Mytilus edulis: one gene and its partner. The main gene of each other region encodes a partner of the protein of the gene in region 2 in a complex. Links are inferred from orthologs where the notes say so. Each region holds a gene or a part of one and is shown on either strand. Other genes may lie near its edges.

Region 1 (3,762 bases), on a different chromosome or scaffold from region 2:
AAGCTGGTTTTTACTTCTTCTCTGAATTTGAAGATTTGCGAGTATTTTGATTTTTATAAACACCTTATATAATTATAAACATTAAAGTTACCATAATTGAAAAGTTTAACTTAAGTGAAAAGTCCCTTCCTGAAGTTTATTCATGTTTATTGAATATACAATAAGTCATACTTAAATCATAGATCAAATTTATTCTTTCATTGTATGTTCACACATGTTAATATGTCGTGTTCAGCCATTTCAAATTTCAATTGATATCTTATATTGTGTCTTTCTGTGTTGTGATGTTACACTATTGTTTCAGATAAGGGTGAAGGTTTGGTACCATGTAAACAATTAAACCCACTGAAATTGTTTGCACCTCATGAATCTGATGTTAAGTAGTTGTCGTTTGTTGATTTGGTTCATAACATAAGTGTTTCTCGTTTCATGTTTTTTATATAGATTAGACCGTTGGTTTTCCCATTTAAAAGGTTTCACACTAGAAATTTTTGGAGGCCTTGATAGCTTGTTGTTCAGTGCAAGCCAAGGCTCCGTGTTGAACACCTTAATTTTACCTATAATGGTTTACTTTTATAAATTGTGACTTGGATAGAGAGTTGTCTCATTGGCACACATACCACATCTTCTTATATCTATTAGATCATAAAATAATGTATGATTTATCTTTTCAGTACCTCAAGTTCAGCATCTCTATCAGGTCTCAGTGCCAGCGGTAACAAGAGATGATTTCGAAGATGTGGTGATCTGTCATTTTTCAGGACTTTACCAAGACTATTTAGCTGACCAGATATCAGAGCAAAATTATCCAGCACAGATGGCCTGAAAACAAGAAGGGATATTTTAAGACATTAACTACATGAACATGCTCTCTGATTAAAAGAAAGAACATATCGAATTTTTAATCATTATCATGATAAAAGGTTTAAGCAGATAGTAGCTTTTAAGGTAAGAATTTATACTTCAATAAAAAAAAAATGACATATAGCTATCATGGCTATAGTCAAGTACAATTCATTATTTACAAGTAACTTCTATAATAATTTTAGCTCATTTACAATGTCTAATATATCAAAGTTTGTTATTTTTTGTACATGTTTTTTTAATTTTATTCTGCCACATCATGTTTACATTTGCCAGATGGTAAACATGGTAATTGTACAAAACAGTTTTGAAATTTTAATAAAATATTTGTCAAAGAAAATGCATCTTATTTTGAGATTCCCTGGTCTTGTGATCTTTTTGTGCTTGATTCTTATTGTCTGTTCTTTCATCTGTTCATTGAACTATCCAGCTCCTTTGCAATTTCTGAGTTGTGTTAAGAATTGTATTATGCATAACTCAGTGTTTATATCAGTATGATCATGTGTCCACACTTTGTCTGTTGTCTAAAGGAGCATATTAACCATTAAAACATAATGTCCTACCAATTCAATGTTTGATATTCATTTTCAAGCTTAAAGAGAAACGATGCAATGGAATTTTTGATATCCTGAACTCTGTGGATCAAGGCATCTACAGTGGCTTCTAATTGCTTTTCTTCTTTCTGGAAAAAATCAAATGAAATATGTACATTGTAGTTGTAGTCATGGTAGTAAATTTGTAAAGCTAGTAAAACCGGTCTTTTCAGAATAAACATATTCAGCCATTTTCTGGTCTTAGCCTAACACTAATTTTAATTTCACAAAATGTATGTACTCTTATGATAATTTAACCCTTTCATGTATCCTTTTTACATCCTTGTGGGCATGCTGAATGTATCCATTTGGCACATCAGTGTAGATGCCGAATTCGAAAGCATCCTTTTAAGGATACAATGTACATAAATTTTCTATTTTTAGACTATCACAATCAAGAGGGTGACATAGAATTATTAAACTGTCAAAATTATTTTCAATAAGTGTAAAAGTTTAACAGCCAAGGTGAAAAAAATGAAGACCACAACAAACAAGGCAGACAAGATTGACAAAGTCAACTTTCTAGTTAATTTACCAATGAAAGCATTATAAAATTATAATATATAAATATAATATGATGGAAACTGAAAGAAGACCATGAGAAAGATACTAATAGTATTTTTGCTGTCAAACACATGCACTTTGTATACATGATAAAATGAACAGCATAAACATAATAAACGTGAAGTTTTCTTTTAAAACTTTTTTTTTAACTCCAAAAATCCTTCAGGGATAACTATGCACCTCTTCCAACAGGTGCATGCCTTCTTTATAACTGTTTCCTCAAAACACACTCTATAAAATTAGTTTTTAACCTGCATTTTTGTTTTTCTTTATAATAGTTTCTTGATTTTTAAACCGGAAATACAATACCGAATTCACGCATGCGCAATCGGAAGAATTTACCAAATCGCATATCAGCCATTATTTTGAAGGATCTGAAAAGACAGAATTTTATTATATAAAATTTATATCAAGAATATTCAAGGCTGAAAGGTAACTGTTTTGAAACCCATACACTTCCAGGTTCTACATGAAGCTACTTTGAACCAATCCGCGCACCTTGTTTCATTGAATAATTCTTTGTTCTCATTGGTGGGTAGGTCAGTGTTGATTGGGTGTCGATTCCCGACCAATTTATTGGTCCACTCTTCGACCCAATCTCCAATGATAATTTACAAACATTTCCCTGTATCAAAGAAGTAGCAATTTATAAATGAAATAAAATGTTTCTCCAAATAAACTCTCTGTGATCGACAGTCATGTGTTGACAAATATCCCCTCACGGACAGAACAAAAATGGCTTCCTTGAATTGCTTTCTATTTTTAGAATGTTACTACAAAAACAAATTCTGAAAATGAATTTCCCATAATTTTATCAACCTTTGGTGTTGTCTCAGTTAATATTGGAACTATGCAGAATGAGACTGATCAAAGTAAGACATTGATATACATGTATTTATATTTAATATTATTCTCATTTTTGTACAAGAACTACCCCCTTTCCCTCTTTTTCATGCATATATTTGTGAAATATAGAAAAAAAATGCTTTGATATGAATAAATGTCACTCAATTTAGGCTAGACACTTCAGCGGTGGATCCAGAATTTTTCATAAGGGGTTGGGGCCACTGACTGCCTCAGATGGCCGCTCAAGTCATGCCTCATACAGTGTTTCCCTGTAGAATCAACCAATTTACCACAAAAAGGGGGGAGTCCACCCCTCCCACCACCACCACCAAATCTGCATCTAGACTTGGGTATTAAAATGTATTTTATACAAGATTGTTTAAAATGCAAAAATAATTCTTCATTCATTTTATGTTTGGAAATTTAAAAAAAGATATAATTTACCATTTTACCCTTTATACCTTTACATGTAGCTTTATCCTGTAGTCCTTAAATAGGCTAATGGTGTCTACTGACTCCTCATCTTGGAATGTCTTTCTCATCTCATAATAATTGCATAATAATATATTTATATATATTATATTTATTTTAAAAAAAAACTTATTTAGGGAATATGAAAAAGAAATTTGAGTTGTCTCCCTGTTTTTCCTCTAAAATTAAAATTAACACTTTAAATTTAAATCTTTGCATTTAAGTTTTAAATGGTAACAAATATTTTATAAAATCATAATTTACAATTTTCATGTCATATTGCTTTCATGTTTGACATAGGCATACCTCAAAATTTGAAGTAAGTAACATCAATAAAATTTTATAAATACCTTTGAATAAAAGTATAAAAAAAAGTGATAAAGTGTGTGTTGAAAATGTTTGCCTCAACATATATTTGAAACTA
Region 2 (3,762 bases):
CTTGTACTACTTGAATAATTATACTTATAGCATATTATATATGTATAATTCATCTGAAATTGAATACAAACGATGTGTTGTCATACAATGTCATAGTGACAGATATGACATCTCAAAATTTTTAAAATGTTTTCTAAAATATTCATCGCGACATGAAACACACAACATTAATTCTGAAATGCACTTTATGGTGACACAGGCATAATTAATGACACAATGTATCATGCAAAACTTTAGTCCAAATAATTATGACGTCTTGAAAGGCTATTATATTATTTTTATTTGACGCCTTACTTCGACAAACTTGGGCTTGTTGTACATTGTACATGTCTGACAAAGCACTGGATTTATCTCAGCTTGAAAGGCTGTCCTACAATTTCATTCATTGTAACAGTAATGTAAATGTACAGTGCTAGCTTATCAGGATACTGTAAAGTCTAGGTCTGGTCTAAACAGCTGTTGACACATATTTTTGATTCAAAGTTGACTTTTTTTTTTTAAATTATACACACGAAGAAACAAAAGTACCATGGTCGGATTTTATGATACCTTAAAGAAAAATAATAATTGCAGTTTTCATTAGTTTCGCTAATAAATGTAACCTGTTCATCTTGGACTTGGTGACTATTCATAAGTTGCACGTGTTTGGGCAAATTGATGACGTCAAAATTATGCCTTTTGCCGAACAAAAATTGACCCTACGGAAAAATGTGTCAATGGATTGGCTAGGTGTCATGCGATTTACTTAAAGATCTTTAAATATAATTGGTCAATTATGAATGTATGCATGTTTTACGTACGCATCAAATTTGTTGTTCATGATGAGTTTGTTTTGATTTTATTGACATTCACTTCCGGTTTCCTTTTCTTGTATGTGAAAGTGTATTCGATTGGTTCATAAATGTTTCCTACTCTATCAGCATAATTTATTGGTCGAATAATTCAGCATGGCTTCCTCCATCAGCACCAAACAAAAACTTTTACAACAAATTGATGATGTTGAGTTGATATCTAAGTAATTTCACTAATAGTATTACTGTCATTTCACATATTTGAAACACCAAATGAAATGCATGGTCTAGACCATATAAAAATGACAACTTTAGTTTTTTTTCCTACCCAACTTGTGAAACCTGGAAAACTGCCATGACTGTTATTGTCTTTTCTGTCTGCACTAATTATATTAAAACAATAAAAGTGGAGGGGAAAAAGTGAAAGGGTTACCAATTTTAACAAGGATATTGCTGATCTTTATTATATAAATCCTTGATTTTACCACATACTGTAGACATTTAATTATTTTATTTACTAATCAGATGTTGTGAAGGATGCAGGTCGTTTTGTAGTCCTAATAATTATGACGTCTTGAAAGGCTATTATATTTTTTTTCTTTGACGGTTTCGTAACTAGTCGATTCCTAACTTACTAGGTTGTTTAGTACCTGTGATGTTTTGTAACCTAAGAAAACTGTTATATCAATATGTAGGACTCTAAAGTGCGATGGGGACGCTTAAGTGCGATGGTCACGCTAAAGTACGATGGTGTACGCTAAAGTGCGATGCCATGACACGATAAAGTGCATTTTTCCATGAATGCGTGTTTGTTCGCGAAAGTGTGAATGTTTGCATTATGACGCTTGAAGCCAATTTGAACATACAAAAATTGACATGCCGGTAAACAAGAATATTTGTGGCTCCCTATGAAGGTTTTTTACAAGACAAAAAAAAAGAGATATAAATGAAACAAAACACTTTTAGTAGGTGATATAGAAGACTGTATGCAGAGGATTTTTTTCCAACAAAATCACCCACCGTACAAAACCTTTCAACTCGCTGTGTTTTCCCATCAACATAGAAAACTGATGACAGTAAGGGGAAGGTGCTTACCGTAAAAGAGAGAAAAAGTCAAAATACACCAAGTGTCAAAGTATTTCAATTCGTTCAAATTTAATTTAGAAACTCCTTCTATGTTTATAATCGAACTTGCTTGGAATAAAAGCTACTTTTTAAATTTCTAATTGAGTTATTCTATAACCTGAATATTTTTGTACAATATGTATTGTCATGTCTGTGAAAGAGATGGATATTCATCAACAAGATAGTGACATACCAAGCAGTTATGAAGTATCATCATATGATTGCCGATGACACAAGTCTAGATCTAAACTGGAATCGTATGGCTAACCCAGCAGATAAATAGTAGATTTATGACTAAAGGTTTTCAGAACGACCATTGCAAAATAATTGATATGAGAAAAATAACGGACTGATTTATACAGAAAAAAATCAATTAACAAACAAAAAAACAAATAAGAAGATGCCAATGAAACAATTATTCACCAAACACAAAATGTTGCAGATGTGCGCACTTAATAACTTATGATCCAAGGCGTGGAGTATCGGCTCTAGTCGAATAGCTAGTTATATAAACCACACAATAACTCGTGTACAACAATTCAAAAGAGAAAAACAACGGCATAATTTATAAACAATATACAAAAACTAATATTAACACCGCAAAAAACAAAAGACATTGCCTGAACACCATTCCAGTTACACCATCGCACTTTAGCGTGGCATACCATCGCACTTTAGCATGTCATCTGATCTCATTTAAAAACAAACAACCATTGCACTTTAGCGTCTGACACCAATGCACTTTAGCGTAGACCATCGCACTTTAGCGTGACCATCGTACTTTAGAGTACCATCGCACTTTAGAGTCCTACAAATATATAATAATATGAGTCGTAGGTTACTAAAAAAATAATGAAAAGACCTATTGATGTACATATATATCTATATTTATTTATTAAATAATTGATTGCACATAATTTTACACTTTACAATTACAGTTTTGCACACATGCGATAGAACAGAAGAATTTAAATTGTCCATCATTTAGATGTACCCCGTCTTTGTCAAAGTATTTAGTCTTCTGCCACGTGCTTTGATGTCTCCAATACTTACACCACTCATCTTTATGTTGCCGACTTTCTTATATTAATATTTTTTTTTCTATCATAAGTTGTTTCTTTCATGTTTCTTGTTTTTTGTATATGGACCAACTGCTGCTGCTGCTCTGGTCAACTAAGACTTGTTTCATGTTTATACCAGGGTTTTTCAGATGAAAAATAAGGCTTTATGCCAGTATAACATGCAATCAAAGAACAACATAGTGATGTCTCTGAGAGAAAGTAAAAGGAATAGAGTAAAATAAGAGTTATAAAAAAATCAAATAAAAACTTTAACTCCGTCAACGCCGGTCCCAAGTCTGGGTGAAAAAGGAGGAGGGTTATGCATTGGCATGTTAAAGTGAGAAAAAAGTAGAAAATAATTATTTTTAGGTCGTGTGCCATAGGTCATGTGTCATTAATCAACTTAATCACTTTACACGTACCATAATTACTTTTTATTAACTGTCATTAGTTGTCATAAAAACATTAAAGCTGTCACTGAGCGTACCAATTAACCAATAATTTAAAAGATTTAAGAAAGTTTTAAATTAAAAACATTACAATATTGTTATTATTGGATGAACAATTTGATCATTTATAAATAATAACTTTAACTGTTTCATTTAAGGAGGTACCTAACACTTTAACTAAAATTAATTTGGCTCGTTTAATTTTCTTTAAATTTTGACAAAGTGTTTACTTTGACCCTTTGACAAAAATATAAGAAATTCAAAAAATTTGAACCAACCGTTTAATCAGAAAAATTACACTGGTTATATAGCAGTTTGACAAACACTTATTTTGAT

Evidence for each region.
Region 1: mediator of RNA polymerase II transcription subunit 4-like (region 2) and mediator of RNA polymerase II transcription subunit 8-B-like share a complex: the UniProt entries of both Caenorhabditis elegans proteins name them as parts of the mediator complex. The link is inferred for Mytilus edulis from reciprocal best matches to the Caenorhabditis elegans genes mdt-4 and mdt-8.

What each region holds. Positions count from the first base shown.
Region 1 is NC_092344.1:62,054,043-62,057,804, forward strand, and holds the start of mediator of RNA polymerase II transcription subunit 8-B-like, read right to left. Parts: upstream 2,235-3,762; 5' UTR 2,220-2,234; coding exon 2,202-2,219; intron 1,547-2,201; coding exon 1,428-1,546; intron 823-1,427; coding exon 678-822; intron 1-677. Other genes in the region: nuclear transcription factor Y subunit gamma-like, read left to right, coding at 2,879-2,893. UniProt on the Caenorhabditis elegans protein: Component of the Mediator complex, a coactivator involved in the regulated transcription of nearly all RNA polymerase II-dependent genes.
Region 2 is NC_092346.1:52,328,891-52,332,652, reverse strand, and holds the start of mediator of RNA polymerase II transcription subunit 4-like, read left to right. Parts: upstream 1-846; 5' UTR 847-947; coding exon 948-1,015; intron 1,016-3,762. Other genes in the region: eukaryotic translation initiation factor 4E type 2-like, read right to left, coding at 801-820. UniProt on the Caenorhabditis elegans protein: Component of the Mediator complex, a coactivator involved in the regulated transcription of nearly all RNA polymerase II-dependent genes.